Linked DNA regions of Saccharomyces cerevisiae S288C. The protein of the gene in region 1 interacts with the protein of each later gene in a biochemical or structural test. Each region holds a gene or a part of one and is shown in the gene's direction. Other genes may lie near its edges.

The links.
Region 2: the proteins of NEJ1 (region 1) and POL4 form a complex in vitro, tested with the Saccharomyces cerevisiae proteins (one study listed by BioGRID).

The regions. Positions count from the first base shown.
Region 1 is NC_001144.5:673,338-678,100, reverse strand, and holds NEJ1 (Nej1p), read left to right. Parts: upstream 1-2,645; coding exon 2,646-3,674; downstream 3,675-4,763. Other genes in the region: PDR8 (Pdr8p), read left to right, coding at 377-2,482; YLR264C-A (uncharacterized protein), read left to right, coding at 4,157-4,273. UniProt on the Saccharomyces cerevisiae protein: Involved in non-homologous end joining (NHEJ). Facilitates the transport of LIF1 into the nucleus, where it can interact with DNA ligase DNL4 to repair double-strand breaks (DSB). Mediates mating-type regulation of NHEJ.
Region 2 is NC_001135.5:134,919-146,765, reverse strand, and holds POL4 (DNA-directed DNA polymerase IV), read left to right. Parts: upstream 1-5,832; coding exon 5,833-7,581; downstream 7,582-11,847. Other genes in the region: CWH43 (Cwh43p), read left to right, coding at 1-1,993; RNA-binding ribosome assembly factor RBP95, read right to left, coding at 2,260-3,132; CTO1 (Cto1p), read left to right, coding at 4,596-5,549; PGK1 (phosphoglycerate kinase), read right to left, coding at 7,770-9,020; putative ATP-dependent permease ADP1, read left to right, coding at 9,893-11,847. UniProt on the Saccharomyces cerevisiae protein: Repair polymerase. Involved in gap-filling in DNA nonhomologous end joining (NHEJ) required for double-strand break repair. Seems to conduct DNA synthesis in a stepwise distributive fashion rather than in a processive fashion as for other DNA polymerases.

The DNA.
Region 1 (4,763 bases):
GCTTAAATCTATTTATACAAGAAATGATCAACTGAATAAAATAACGAGCGGCTGAAAATTAAGGGTTCTTTCGTGTGTGGAGTTACAGTCCGTTGCAACGCCTTTCCAACATGCACACAAAACCAACAGTGGCTTATTCGCCAGAGGGTACAACAATGACTCAGAAATCATGAAGAGGCATTAACAGCGGTCAGCAGTGGAGCAATAACAACAGGGTCATTACTTCTTTACTACTTGTACTTAGAATACATCACGACAAGGTGCAATGCGGCGCCTTTCCGCGTTGACAAACTCTTGAAAAGCCCATGACAGGTGGAAAACACGTGGTTGGTACGGGACGAATAAGAAAGAGGCAAACGGCACTTAGTTTGTTGGGATGGATGGATCCCATTTTCCTATGAAATCTACTACCGGAGAGCCCGTTTCAAGTGGTAAGAAGGGCAAGAGGAGGAAGGTCATCAAGTCATGTGCATTTTGTAGAAAAAGAAAACTGAAATGCAGTCAGGCCAGGCCTATGTGTCAGCAATGTGTAATTAGAAAACTACCGCAATGCGTTTACACAGAAGAGTTCAACTATCCCTTGTCTAATACGGAACTGTTCGAGCAAGTGCCCAATGTAGCGTTGGTTCAGAAGATTGAGAATTTGCAGACTCTACTGAAGGAAAACGATAACAATAATGCGAAACCGGTGTATTGCAGGAGTTCAGAAAATCCATTACGGTCACTGAGAACTTCGGTTTTAGGTGATAATGGCTCGAGGTATGTGTTTGGCCCCACTTCCTGGAAAACTTTATCTTTGTTTGAACAAAATAAGTTTCAAACTGAGTTTCAAAATTTATGGAAAGTCTTGAAACCACTTCCTGAATGCACTAAATCGCAATTAAATGAAAATGATGTTGTAGCAGATTTGCCTAGTTTTCCTCAAATGGAAAGCTGTATTAAATCTTTTTTTGCTGGACCGCTGTTCGGCATATTGCATATCTTCAACCAAGACGATATTCTGTCCCTCTTGGACAGACTTTTTATTAGAGATACCACGGACAAGAACCTAGTCATCCTCCTCGATTTGCAAGGTAATGCAAAAGATAAGTATAATCTTGGCATTGTACTTCAAATTCTTTGCTTGGGCTATTATAACCAAGATATCCCTTCTTCCGTGAGTCATTTCCTTCACACTTTAAGTGCAGCGTCCTTGTCATCATCGAGCTCAAATTTCGTGGAAAAACTACAATTTTTCTTATTGTCCTATATTAGTGTAATGATAAATTGCACGGACGGTGTATGGGATGCGACTCAAGGCGTTGACTTAATCAACGAGCTATGCCAGGGGTGCATAAGTTTGGGTTTAAATGATATTGATAAATGGTATTTGAACGAAAGTGAGGAAACCAAACAAAACTTGAGGTGTATTTGGTTTTGGGCTTTATTCCTTGATGTATCCACCTCATATGATATAGGTAATCCTCCGTCTATTTCAGATGATCTTTTGGACTTAAGTATATTTACTGCGCAGAATTTCCAATCACCGAGTATTGACTTTAGGAGAGTTAAGCTAATGCACGATTTTTTAGATGTTTCCCGATTCACTACTCGTGAAATTCACAAGAGAGAGATGAACGAAAAATTGACCACTTTTTCATTGAGATTGATTGAATTTATACAATCTAACTTTTCACCTATCGAACATTATACAAATTCAGTTTACTACTCTGATATTGATCCCTTTGATATATTGATTTTATCAAGATCTCTAAGTATAGTTGCTAGTATATACAATATTGAGATGATCATCGCTCAACAAAGCAGAATCATAGATAAGAACAGAATGGTTCAGTTCTTGTTGATATCCATATCAGTCTGTGTTAATACAATGGTATTTCATTTTAAAGAGCCTATCAACGACCAGGAGAACGTGTTAACTGAAGGGCTAAAACTGTCTATTATTCTAATCAATCCACTTTTAATACGAATAGTATCGCAAGTGTACAGTTTAGCATTTAATAGGTTAATCTTCAGGGAGAAGGCATTCCTTTTCCTTATTGACCTTGACACTGGGAAAAAAATACAATTCATTAAATATGAAGAAGAAAACTTTGATGAACTTTTGACAGGATTCGATGTTAGGACTGATAAATTTCTGTCATTTTCAGGAACAATAATAAGATTTTACGAAATTATTGATAGCATATTTGCTGTTAATGAAAGAAATAAGCGATTGTTAAAAGCAGTTTCCAATTTTTATCAGTTAACTTCAACTTTGGCGTTTGAACGCGTAAGTAGGGTTTTATTCGATAAAGCGTCCCAAGCAAGAATAGAGACTGAAAAAATTTGGCTGAAAAAGGGCATTAATATGGAGCACTTCAGTGATCTCATGATTGAAGATTTTATTAATGATGTTTGGAAAACGTTCAAAGAGATTTCCAAAGACCTTTGGTCCATTGACAAAAAGAAATTTTATAAACAATATCATTTCGATTTATAAATGTATTTATGATTGATGTATTTTTTTACATGGATTTTTTCGTCCCAAAAAGGGATGATAGTGTTGGCAGCGGGCAAACACAAAATAGTGTCATATAAGTGGAAACCCTATGGAGAATAACCATAACAACGGCCAGATAGGAGGTTAATCTTACACATGTGTGATGGATTCTGAGTTGAAAGGGCAGCAGCTAAGTGATGCAGAATGGTGTGTTAAAAAAATTAATGGTGAGGGAAATTGTCTCCTATTATTTCTACCGATGTCATCTCCAACCACAATTGTAATGATTGTTTTAGTTTCCTTGGAGCGCTTAGTTCCCTACGTTTTCAAACTTTCACAAACTCAATTATCACAGCAATGCCAGAGCCAAGGTTTTACGGATAGTATATCATTAAATCTAATTAAACTAAAACTAATGGACATTCTACAAGCTCCTCAAGAAATTAACCAAATTGGATTGGTAGATTCAAATTTGGTTTTTAGTTTCGATGTATCTGCGGATATTACAGTTTCCATAAATAGCGTACCTTCACATGTTACTAAGGATATGTTCTATATGATTTTGCAAAGTTTATGCATGCTTTTATTAAAATTGGTAAACCTTTCCACCCAATACCACTATGTACAACGGGATATTTTGAATGAAAAGCAAAAATGCTTAGATTTTCTTTTAATTTCTCTTCGTGATTTAGACGGTGGGAGTAAAGTTATCAGTCAATGGGCTCCTGAAAATTCTAAGAATTATGAATCTCTGCAGCAATGCACAGACGATGACATAATCAAAAAATTACTACATAAAGGAAAATTCCAGCATCAAGAATTTCTGGCGGACTCATTAAAAACATTATTATCTTTAAGAAACAAATTTCAAGATGTGTCGCGGTTTGAAGAATCTGGAGAACTTAACAAAAAAGAGCGCGTCAGATTTCCTGCGGTGAATCATTTTTATAATGATGATTTTGAATTGCAAGCAGACCCTACAAATGAGGCTCGACCAAATAGCCGCGGTAAAATTAAACCAAAGACAGATTTCAAGCCAAAATCTAGAGAAAGTAGTACCAGTTCGCAACTTCGCCTGGAGAATTTTTCTGAATCTGAGGCTACACCAGAAAAAACAAAATCAAGTTCTTCTTTGGTCGAAGAATACCCACAGAAAAAAAGAAAATTTGGAAAGGTGAGAATAAAAAACTAAGGCAAGTCAATTAAACGTCAAAAATTAAGGTTGGACCTTTCAAATAGTTCTATTCCTTTGTTGACGCATTGATAATGTTAATTTATTGAATGGTAACGTTATGCCATTGATAGGGAGCATATAAGTTTATATGTATTAGGACAGTTCTAATTGTTTATTATTAATCTAACGGTAGTTTCAAGCAGTATCTTACATCACTGCAGCTTCTGAGTGTCTAAATGATAAACTGCATAAAAAATAGCCGCGCAAGCTCGCCATCACTGTAAATGAAATTTAGACGCAAAACATAACCGCGGATGTAAACTTACTTAATAAGAGCGATTGGCAAAAGAGCCACAAAAAAAAATTGGATCAATATCTGGTGCATGGGTCTAAAAAAATTAAGCAAAACCACAACACCACGCGTTATGACAGCAGTTTTAGAGACTGTTTCTTTCTCTTCTATTGTATGAAGTAATCAGATTATTATATTGAGTAAGTACATGAATGTAATATTTAAATTGTATTTAACGATAGATGCACCAAAAAAAAAGAAAGTTACAGTAAGAGACTTCTTGTCGATTCGTTATTCCATGCCATACAGGTTAGCCTCAAATTAATTAATTCTTAAAATTCAGTAAACATTCTGGAATCCAAAAAAGTAACAAGTTCGTCGAATATCTCATCAATTATAGTGAGTTGTACACTCAACCCACCTCCAAAAAACCACAAAAATTAAGTGACTTCAATCATTTAATTCATTTTTTGAAAAATTGACATCATTGAGTATTTCTACGCATTTGTTCTCTGTTTTTGGCAACCGAAAATCCCTTGTAAAGAATCCATTAAAATTAATAAAGGAGATGTATGAATTCACCGAATGGAAAAACCGACCAAAGCACAAACACCTACTGTCTTCTATCCCTCCTTTCGATTGTTTAGATGAGCTTACCAACGTTTATATTATTTGCAATCGATTTCATCACTAAACTCAATTAAAATAATCATTCGAACTTCATTTTTTGAGAAATATTAAAAAATAAGCTGTTGTTTGTAAATATAGAAAAAAAACAATGCTCGAAGAGCACCAATAGTAAATTTTTTAATATA
Region 2 (11,847 bases), on another chromosome or scaffold:
ATGTAGTATTTGGCATTTCCCGCTATGGTATATGGGAATCTCAGGTTATGAAGCTGCAATATTGGGTTATTTGGGACCCATTTTCTTATATCTGCCGTTCGTTTCTGAAGCCTTCACGCAATATGGTGTACTTTTAGGAGGTATTATTGCCATTGGTGCCTATATTGTTCAGATGCCAGAATTAAGGTTGATTTCTGTAGCTGTGGGAACTTCCATTACCGTTGCAACGTTTGTACAAAATCTAAGATATATCACAAATGCGGAGACTAGTTTCTCTTTTGCTCTAACTTGGCTGTTAGGTCTTGTTGCATCTGTGATCTTGAAAATGGGGTTCTATACCAACAATCCAACTTGGGTCATTTTAGATGAACGTAATGGTGGGTATAATAAGACAGCTCTCGTGCTTACTGTTTTATTCGGCATGCTGTCGCCTTATGTTAATTCAATTAATTTCGAAGGGAAAAGGAATGCTCAAGCAAAATCTGCTTCGTTGATTGGCAAATTATTTTTGGCTGTTGGTTTTGGCTCGTTGTTATTCGGAATTCATCAGTTATTGACGGATTCTTCTACTACTATTTATTGGGCATGGGAAGGTTACAATGAATCACACGGTCCCTTGCCATGGCCTTGGGGCGCCTTAACTTGTACGGTCATGTTATTTGCTTCTTTGAGTTCTGTGAAGTTTATGGGCAAGCCATTAGTTCCATGTTTGTTGCTTCTCATATCCACTGCTGTACTTTCAGCTAGAAGCATTACACAATGGCCTAAATATATTTTCGGTGGTTTATTGTACGCTATCGCTATGCTTTGGTTAGTTCCTTCGTATTTTTCTGCATTAGGCCAAGTTCAAAACATATGGGTTTATGTCCTATCATTCTCCGTTTATATTATCTTTGTCCTTGCCCATGTTTGGGTCGTTGCATACGCATTTGTTCCAATGGGCTGGGTACTGAGGGAGAAGATTGAGACGGTTCTTGCCTTTTCTTCCACATTTATCATTATTGGTGCTTTAACATGCAAAAACCTTAACATTCAACTGGTGACTATGGGCAAAAAATTCTTCATTTATGTTTTCTTCTTTGCCGTGGCCCTGCTATCACTAACAGCTAGGTTCGTGTATGATATTAGACCTACAGGAATTCCTCAGCCTTATCATCCAGATTCTCAGTTGATTACAGCTGGTATTTGGACTATCCACTTTGGTCTCGATAATGATATGTGGGCATCTGAAGACAGAATGATCAACCTTATTAAAGATATGGAACTAGATGTGGTAGGTCTACTAGAAACAGATACACAAAGAATTACCATGGGGAACAGGGATCTAACTAGCAAACTAGCTCATGATTTGAATATGTATGCAGATTTCGGACCAGGTCCAAATAAACATACCTGGGGCTGTGTTCTTCTTTCTAAATTCCCTATCGTAAATTCTACGCATCATTTATTGCCCTCTCCAGTTGGGGAACTTGCGCCAGCCATTCATGCCACACTTCAAACGTACAATGACACTCTCGTTGACGTCTTTGTATTCCATAGTGGACAAGAAGAGGATGAAGAGGATAGAAGACTGCAAAGTAACTACATGGCTAAGCTCATGGGCAATACGACTCGCCCAGCTATTTTATTAAGTTACTTAGTTGTTGATCCAGGTGAAGGCAACTACAATACGTACGTTAGTGAAACATCCGGAATGCACGACATTGATCCTTCTGACGATGATAGATGGTGTGAGTATATCTTGTATAGGGGCTTGAGAAGAACAGGATATGCTAGAGTTGCAAGAGGAACGATAACCGATACGGAGCTACAAGTTGGTAAGTTCCAAGTTTTGAGTGAGCAAGCGTTAGTAGAGCACTCGGATTCTATGTATGAATACGGTCATATGAGTGAACCGGAATATGAGGACATGAAATTTCCAGATAAGTTTTTAGGCGAAGGTGAGAGGGGTCACTTCTACCATGTTTTTGATGAGCCACGTTATTACTTATAAGAGGCCGTAAGGTGGTTTTATAAATCAGTGTAATCACATTGTGTGTACTGAAAATCTTGATAACTTAAGGTAAGTTATGTATCCACCTGATTTTTTTGACCTCGAATTTTAAAAATTTATGTGATTTCTTTATGTATGTTACTTAGACGATCTTGTTATAGTTTTGTAAGAAATTATACTTCCTGAAACGATTTATCCCGCTACTTTTTGAGCGTATTTCACAGTAAAATATATACTACAACTGAACAACGTTGTTGAACTCTATGTTAAACATCAACGAAGAAATTCTTAAGTTCTATCTGCTCCGAGTCATCATTCTTCCAAATTTCTAGTAATTTCAGACTTCTTTGAACAAGCTCTTTATTCGGCATTTGTACTTCCTCTTGCTCGTCTTGTACCTCTTTTTGCTTCCCTTGTTCGGCATTACCGTCTTTTTCACCTTCTTCTTTTTCTTCACCATTAATTGGTTCGCTAGCCTTATCCTCTGCAATTAACGCTTTTATTTTTGTTTCTTGATCTTCCACATAGTCGTTCCATTGCTTCAGTTTTCCTTTGCATTTTGATATTAGTTCTTCTTTTGATTTACCTTGTAAGTCCCTGAAATATAAAAGCAAAAGATCATTATATACTGAGGGGATTTCGTCCAAGTTGAAAAAATGCTTAATAAGCCAATTTTGCTTTTGCTTGGAAAATTTCCAAACTTCAACAACACCAGACTCTGATGGCTCGTCTTTGATCAGGGAGTCGCCGTAATTTTCTTTTACACTTTCCAATTCTAGGATTCCGGTGGGAAACTTGCTCTCAGACTTTGTCCTGAAAAATTCTATCAGGTAACGTAATTGATCTTTAAGAATTTTATTTTTTTTCGAATTCTTTTCATCCTTTGACAATTTTTCCTTCTTCTTCGTCCCTGGTTTCGACACACGCTTCCCTTTTTTGGTAGAGGATTTGCTCTCACCATTAATGATTCTTTTTTTCTCTTTCTTTGTCAAATTACCAGTGGATAAATGCGTAGTGATATTTAGTGGATCATCATCTATTAGATTGGATTGGCCTTTTTCTTTACTTTCGTCACCACTGCTTATAGTCTGTCTCTTCAAAGCAATTCTTTTCCAGGCAGGAACGTGATTTTCGGACATTTAATTGTGAAGTGAATGTTTCTTCTGCTTGTAATTTGTCGATAAAGAAAGCACTTATGACAGTACTTTGATATTTGAATTTAGCTCATCTCTTTTCGTTCCTTTTTCTCGCTCGAAAATTTTCAATAATTTGCAGTAAAAAGGCGATGCCAGTAAAAAACTACCTGCAAAGGGAGCGTTAGACATATCTTTTATTGGCGACAAATATTTTTAGCGATATATATCCGTAAAGATCTGGCGATATTCTTTATCACTCGATGATAATAAATTCTTTTACACTTTGCTATTTTCCATGAGAACGGTTGGTATTCCTGTTCCCAATAACAAAAGCGTTTGCATATTTTTATGGTGAAGGTACTATCAACTGTAAAGTATGTACAATAGATTTATTAAAGGGAAACACTTTTCGTAGTAAGAAAAGCAGGTTTATAATTCAATTGTTTTAAAGCTGAATAATGCCGTGGTGTTAAACTACGACCGAGCTATAGCAACAGCATCGGCCACACACTCTCTCTTATTCTTATGTTAATAGTCGACCTTTCAAGGATGTTCTTGTTGGAATAGAAATCCACTATCGTCTATCAACTAATAGTTATATTATCAATATATTATCATATACGGTGTTAAGATGATGACATAAGTTATGAGAAGCTGTCATCGAAGTTAGAGGAAGCTGAAGTGCAAGGATTGATAATGTAATAGGATAATGAAACATATAAAATAGAAGAAGGGATAATCGTAATATTAGTATGTAGAAATATGGATTCCATTTTGAGGATTCCTCTATCCTTGAAGAGAACTCCTAGTATATTCCGTATACATAATATTGTTGCTTTTCTCGAATCATGTATCAAGATTACTAGCGCAAGTGGTTTAGTGGTAAAATCCAACGTTGCCATCGTTGGGCCCCCGGTTCGATTCCGGGCTTGCGCATCTTTTTTACTTTATATACTATTTTTTTTTTTTTTCTTTTTCCCAAATTTTTTCATGAAAAATTTGGCGGAACGGTACATAAGAATAGAAGAGATTCGTTATGAAAATTTTCTACTCTCTTTCACATTTTTTTTTTCATAAGAATTAAAAAAATAAGCTTAATGCCCTCTTTGTACGATGGTGTCACTCTAAAATTATTTACGTAATTTAATTGGATGTGATATCAAGCACTAGTTTTGTTTGGAGGAGCAGAGATTGAAAGCCTAGCTTTTACACCGGTTTGAGTCGGTTCCTTCGTTTTCTTAGTTGGAATTGATATAGAAGTGTGTGGACAATCGATTTGCAAAACTTTTTATTTTATGTATTACTACTGAGCTTGTTTATCTGTATACTTTTTTCTTATTATTATGTAGTTAGAGGTTAGTTCTTATCGTTTTCTTTAAAAGCGACCTTTCTTCGCACAAAGCAATGTTGACAATCGAGCCAATGCATTTAACAATTGCAGTAACCAGAAGCGAACAGTGGAGGATATGAAAACCATTATTATTTCAGATTTTGATGAAACAATCACAAGAGTTGACACAATCTGCACCATTGCTAAATTACCGTATCTACTGAACCCGCGGTTGAAACCTGAGTGGGGTCATTTTACCAAGACATATATGGACGGATACCATAAATACAAATACAATGGAACGAGATCACTGCCGTTGTTATCTTCAGGCGTACCTACGATAATTTCGCAGTCTAACTTCAATAAGTTGTTTGCGGACGAATTAAAATATCAAAATCATAACAGGGTTGTTGAGTTAAATAGTGTAAATGAAATTACAAAACAACAGATTTTTAAGTCGATTTCTTTGGATCAAATGAAAACGTTCGCCAGAGATCAGAATCACGAAGATTGTTTACTAAGAGATGGTTTCAAAACGTTTTGCTCTTCAGTTGTCAAAAATTTTGAAAGTGATTTTTACGTTTTATCTATAAATTGGTCAAAAGAGTTTATTCATGAAGTCATTGGTGACAGAAGACTTAAAAATAGTCATATTTTTTGTAACGATCTAAAAAAAGTTAGTGACAAGTGTTCTCAAAGCTACAATGGTGAATTTGATTGTCGGTTATTGACAGGCTCTGATAAGGTCAAGATACTGGGTGAAATATTAGATAAGATCGACTCAGGTTGCAATAAAGAAGGAAATTCTTGCAGCTATTGGTATATAGGGGATAGTGAGACTGACTTGTTGTCCATATTACATCCATCTACTAATGGTGTACTGCTAATAAACCCGCAAGAAAATCCTTCCAAATTCATAAAAATTACCGAAAAGATTATTGGTATCCCAAAGGATAAAATCTCGAGTTTTGAAGCTGATAATGGTCCAGCGTGGTTACAGTTTTGTGAAAAGGAAGGCGGTAAAGGTGCCTACCTTGTGAAATCCTGGGACTCTTTAAAAGATTTGATCATGCAGGTAACAAAAATGTAGAAACGGATGAAATCCTGTATATTCAAATTTATATAACCAGGACGTTGCAGTGCTAATAATAATGGAATACCGCTAATTTTCCTCCTGTTTTTTCTTTTTTAAGTAAAGATAAAATAGTATTTCACTTGCACTATTCTTCTATCTCCGTAATCGGTCTCGGTCTAAAATTACTTTGAGATGTTCAAATACATGGGGCTAATAATTTTAAGGGCTTGCAAAGAACTTATATGTCACAGTGATAATAAGTAAAGGATAAACATGCGACCTGTTAGACAAATCGCACATGTCTCTAAAGGGTAAATTTTTCGCCTTTTTACCTAATCCTAACACATCTTCCAATAAGTTCTTTAAGAGTATATTGGAGAAAAAGGGCGCCACAATTGTGTCAAGTATTCAAAATTGTCTTCAATCTAGCCGTAAGGAAGTGGTCATTTTGATTGAGGACTCCTTTGTTGATTCTGATATGCATTTGACTCAGAAAGATATTTTCCAAAGGGAAGCAGGCTTAAATGATGTCGATGAATTTCTTGGTAAGATTGAACAGTCAGGCATTCAATGTGTGAAAACCAGTTGCATCACAAAGTGGGTCCAGAATGATAAATTTGCGTTTCAAAAAGATGATTTGATTAAATTTCAACCATCCATTATCGTTATATCAGATAACGCTGATGACGGACAAAGTTCTACTGATAAAGAGAGTGAGATTTCAACTGACGTAGAAAGTGAAAGGAATGATGACAGCAACAATAAAGATATGATACAAGCTTCAAAACCTCTTAAGCGACTCTTACAGGGGGATAAAGGAAGAGCTTCCCTTGTTACTGACAAAACGAAGTACAAAAACAATGAATTGATTATCGGAGCGTTGAAAAGGTTAACAAAAAAATATGAGATCGAAGGTGAGAAATTTCGTGCAAGAAGTTATAGACTGGCTAAACAGTCGATGGAAAATTGCGATTTCAATGTTCGTTCCGGTGAAGAAGCACATACTAAATTAAGGAATATCGGGCCTAGTATTGCCAAAAAAATACAAGTTATATTAGATACGGGAGTTTTACCAGGTTTAAATGATTCAGTGGGATTAGAAGACAAGTTGAAATACTTCAAAAATTGTTACGGCATTGGGTCGGAAATTGCTAAACGCTGGAATCTTCTAAATTTTGAAAGCTTTTGTGTTGCAGCTAAGAAGGACCCAGAGGAGTTTGTATCAGATTGGACAATTTTATTTGGTTGGTCATATTACGACGATTGGTTATGCAAGATGTCTCGGAATGAATGTTTCACACATTTAAAGAAGGTTCAAAAAGCGCTGCGTGGCATTGATCCTGAATGCCAAGTCGAATTACAGGGAAGTTATAATAGGGGCTATTCCAAGTGTGGTGACATTGATCTTTTATTTTTCAAGCCGTTTTGTAATGACACGACCGAGTTGGCAAAAATCATGGAAACGCTTTGTATTAAGTTGTACAAGGATGGCTATATCCATTGTTTTTTACAGCTAACGCCAAACTTGGAAAAGCTATTCTTAAAAAGAATAGTGGAGAGATTTCGTACAGCGAAGATTGTTGGGTATGGAGAAAGAAAGAGGTGGTATTCTTCTGAGATAATCAAGAAATTTTTCATGGGAGTCAAATTGTCTCCAAGAGAATTAGAAGAACTGAAAGAAATGAAAAATGATGAAGGCACATTGTTAATTGAAGAAGAAGAAGAAGAAGAAACAAAATTAAAACCGATTGACCAATATATGTCTCTGAATGCCAAGGATGGAAATTATTGCAGAAGATTAGACTTTTTTTGTTGCAAGTGGGATGAGCTTGGAGCAGGAAGAATACACTATACTGGATCTAAAGAGTACAATAGATGGATAAGAATATTGGCAGCGCAAAAAGGCTTCAAGCTTACACAACACGGTTTATTTCGAAATAATATCCTTCTCGAAAGCTTTAACGAACGCAGAATTTTCGAGTTATTAAACTTAAAATACGCTGAACCCGAACATAGAAATATCGAATGGGAAAAAAAAACTGCATAAAGGCATTAAAAGAGGAGCGAATTTTTTTTTAATAAAAATCTTAATAATCATTAAAAGATAAATAATAGTCTATATATACGTATATAAATAAAAAATATTCAAAAAATAAAATAAACTATTATTTTAGCGTAAAGGATGGGGAAAGAGAAAAGAAAAAAATTGATCTATCGATTTCAATTCAATTCAATTTATTTCTTTTCGGATAAGAAAGCAACACCTGGCAATTCCTTACCTTCCAATAATTCCAAAGAAGCACCACCACCAGTAGAGACATGGGAGATCTTGTCAGTGACACCGTACTTCTTAGCGACAGTGGCAGTGTCACCACCACCAATGATGACGGTGTTACCAGCAGCAGAGCTCTTGACAACTTCGTCTAACAAAGCCTTAGTACCAGCAGCGAACTTTTCGAATTCGAAAACACCTGGTGGACCGTTCCAGACAATGGTCTTAGCCTTTGCAACAGTAGCAGCAAACAACTTTCTAGATTCTGGACCATTGTCCAACCCTTGCCAGCCAGCTGGAATACCTTCCTTGTCAGTGACAGTCTTGGTGTTGGCATCAGCAGAGAAAGCATCAGCAATGATGAAGTCGACTGGCAAGACGACTTCGACACCCTTGGCCTTGGCCTTTTCCATCAACTTTGGAACGATTTCAGCACCAGCCTTGTCGAAGATGGAGTCACCGATTTCAGTGTTTTCCAAAACCTTCTTGAAGGTGAAAGCCATACCACCACCAATGATGATAGAGTCGACCTTGTCCAACAAGTTGTCAATCAATTGAATCTTGTCAGCAACCTTGGCACCACCTAAGATGGCCAAGAATGGTCTGGTTGGGTTCTCCAAAGCCTTACCGAAGTACTTCAATTCCTTTTCCAACAAGAAACCGGCAGCACGTTGTGGCAAGTCGAAACCGACCATAGAAGAGTGAGCTCTGTGAGCGGTACCGAAGGCATCGTTGATGTAAACATCAGCCAAAGAGCTCAATTCGTGTCTGAACTTTTGAACATCTTCCTTGGAAGCCTTGACCTTTTGACCATCGACCTTTCTGGAACCTTCTTCTTCGATGTGGTAACGCAAGTTTTCCAACAAAATAACGGAACCTGGGGCAGAAGCCTTGACAGCGGCTTCAACTTCTGGACCGACACAGTCGTTCAAGAAGGTGACATCCTTACCCAACAATGATTGCAATTCCTTAGCAACTGGAGCCAAAGAGTATTTTTCGTTTCTTTCACCGTTTGGTCTACCCAAGTGAGAAGCCAAGACAACGTATCTTGGGTGGTGTTCCAAAACGTACTTGATGGTTGGCAAAGCAGCAACAATTCTTTGGTTAGAAGTGATCTTCTTACCGTCCAATGGGACGTTGAAGTCAACTCTGATGAAGACACGCTTGTCCTTCAAGTCCAAATCTTGGACAGACAACTTTGAAGATAAAGACATTGTTTTATATTTGTTGTAAAAAGTAGATAATTACTTCCTTGATGATCTGTAAAAAAGAGAAAAAGAAAGCATCTAAGAACTTGAAAAACTACGAATTAGAAAAGACCAAATATGTATTTCTTGCATTGACCAATTTATGCAAGTTTATATATATGTAAATGTAAGTTTCACGAGGTTCTACTAAACTAAACCACCCCCTTGGTTAGAAGAAAAGAGTGTGTGAGAACAGGCTGTTGTTGTCACACGATTCGGACAATTCTGTTTGAAAGAGAGAGAGTAACAGTACGATCGAACGAACTTTGCTCTGGAGATCACAGTGGGCATCATAGCATGTGGTACTAAACCCTTTCCCGCCATTCCAGAACCTTCGATTGCTTGTTACAAAACCTGTGAGCCGTCGCTAGGACCTTGTTGTGTGACGAAATTGGAAGCTGCAATCAATAGGAAGACAGGAAGTCGAGCGTGTCTGGGTTTTTTCAGTTTTGTTCTTTTTGCAAACAAATCACGAGCGACGGTAATTTCTTTCTCGATAAGAGGCCACGTGCTTTATGAGGGTAACATCAATTCAAGAAGGAGGGAAACACTTCCTTTTTCTGGCCCTGATAATAGTATGAGGGTGAAGCCAAAATAAAGGATTCGCGCCCAAATCGGCATCTTTAAATGCAGGTATGCGATAGTTCCTCACTCTTTCCTTACTCACGAGTAATTCTTGCAAATGCCTATTATGCAGATGTTATAATATCTGTGCGTCTTGAGTTGAAGTCAGGAATCTAAAATAAAAATTAAGGTTAATAAAAAGAGGAAAGAAAAAAAAATTAATCGATTTACAGAAACTTGCACACTAAAAATACACAACTAAAAGCAATTACAGTATGGGAAGTCATCGACGTTATCTCTACTATAGTATATTATCATTTCTATTATTATCCTGCTCAGTGGTACTTGCAAAACAAGATAAGACCCCATTCTTTGAAGGTACTTCTTCGAAAAATTCGCGTCTAACTGCACAAGATAAGGGCAATGATACATGCCCGCCATGTTTTAATTGTATGCTACCTATTTTTGAATGCAAACAGTTTTCTGAATGCAATTCGTACACTGGTAGATGTGAGTGTATAGAAGGGTTTGCAGGTGATGATTGCTCTCTGCCCCTCTGTGGCGGTCTATCACCGGATGAAAGCGGTAATAAGGATCGTCCCATAAGAGCACAAAATGACACCTGTCATTGTGATAACGGATGGGGAGGGATCAATTGTGACGTTTGTCAAGAAGATTTTGTCTGTGATGCGTTCATGCCTGATCCTAGTATTAAGGGGACATGTTATAAGAATGGTATGATTGTAGATAAAGTATTTTCAGGTTGTAATGTGACCAATGAGAAAATTCTACAGATTTTGAACGGCAAAATACCACAAATTACATTTGCCTGTGATAAACCTAATCAAGAATGTAATTTTCAGTTTTGGATAGATCAGTTAGAAAGCTTCTATTGTGGCTTAAGTGATTGTGCCTTTGAATACGACTTGGAACAGAATACCTCCCATTATAAGTGTAATGACGTTCAATGCAAATGCGTTCCCGACACTGTGTTGTGTGGTGCTAAGGGGTCTATAGATATCTCGGATTTCCTGACAGAGACAATAAAAGGGCCAGGAGATTTCAGCTGTGATTTAGAAACAAGGCAATGTAAATTCAGTGAGCCTTCTATGAATGATTTGATATTGACCGTGTTTGGTGACCCTTATATTACTTTGAAGTGTGAATCCGGTGAATGTGTTCATTATAGTGAGATTCCAGGTTACAAATCTCCTTCAAAAGATCCAACAGTGTCATGGCAAGGGAAATTGGTGTTGGCATTGACTGCTGTGATGGTCCTGGCACTTTTTACATTTGCTACCTTTTACATTTCTAAATCTCCGTTATTCAGAAATGGATTGGGTTCCTCAAAGTCTCCCATTCGTTTGCCAGATGAAGATGCGGTGAATAATTTCTTACAAAATGAAGATGACACACTGGCGACATTAAGTTTTGAAAATATCACTTATAGTGTCCCCTCGATAAATTCAGATGGTGTTGAAGAAACTGTGCTGAATGAAATAAGTGGTATCGTGAAGCCCGGCCAAATATTAGCTATCATGGGTGGATCTGGTGCGGGTAAAACTACTTTATTAGATATCCTAGCAATGAAACGGAAAACAGGTCACGTTTCGGGTTCCATAAAAGTTAACGGTATTAGTATGGACCGTAAATCTTTCTCGAAAATAATCGGGTTCGTCGATCAAGATGACTTTTTGCTGCCCACTTTGACTGTTTTTGAAACCGTATTAAATAGTGCGCTGTTAAGATTGCCAAAAGCATTGTCATTCGAGGCCAAGAAGGCAAGAGTTTATAAGGTGTTGGAAGAACTAAGAATTATTGATATCAAAGATCGTATTATTGGTAATGAATTTGATCGTGGTATTAGTGGAGGTGAAAAACGCCGAGTTTCCATTGCATGTGAATTAGTGACATCTCCATTGGTTTTATTTTTGGATGAACCTACATCTGGTTTAGATGCTAGTAATGCCAATAATGTTATTGAATGTTTGGTAAGGTTATCCAGCGACTATAACAGGACATTGGTGCTATCTATTCATCAGCCAAGATCAAATATATTTTATTTATTCGATAAATTGGTCCTGTTAAGTAAAGGTGAGATGGTCTATTCCGGAAATGCCAAAAAAGTGTCAGAATTTTTGAGAAATGAGGGATATATCTGTCCGGACAACTATAATATTGCTGATTATTTGATTGATATTACTTTTGAAGCCGGTCCTCAGGGGAAAAG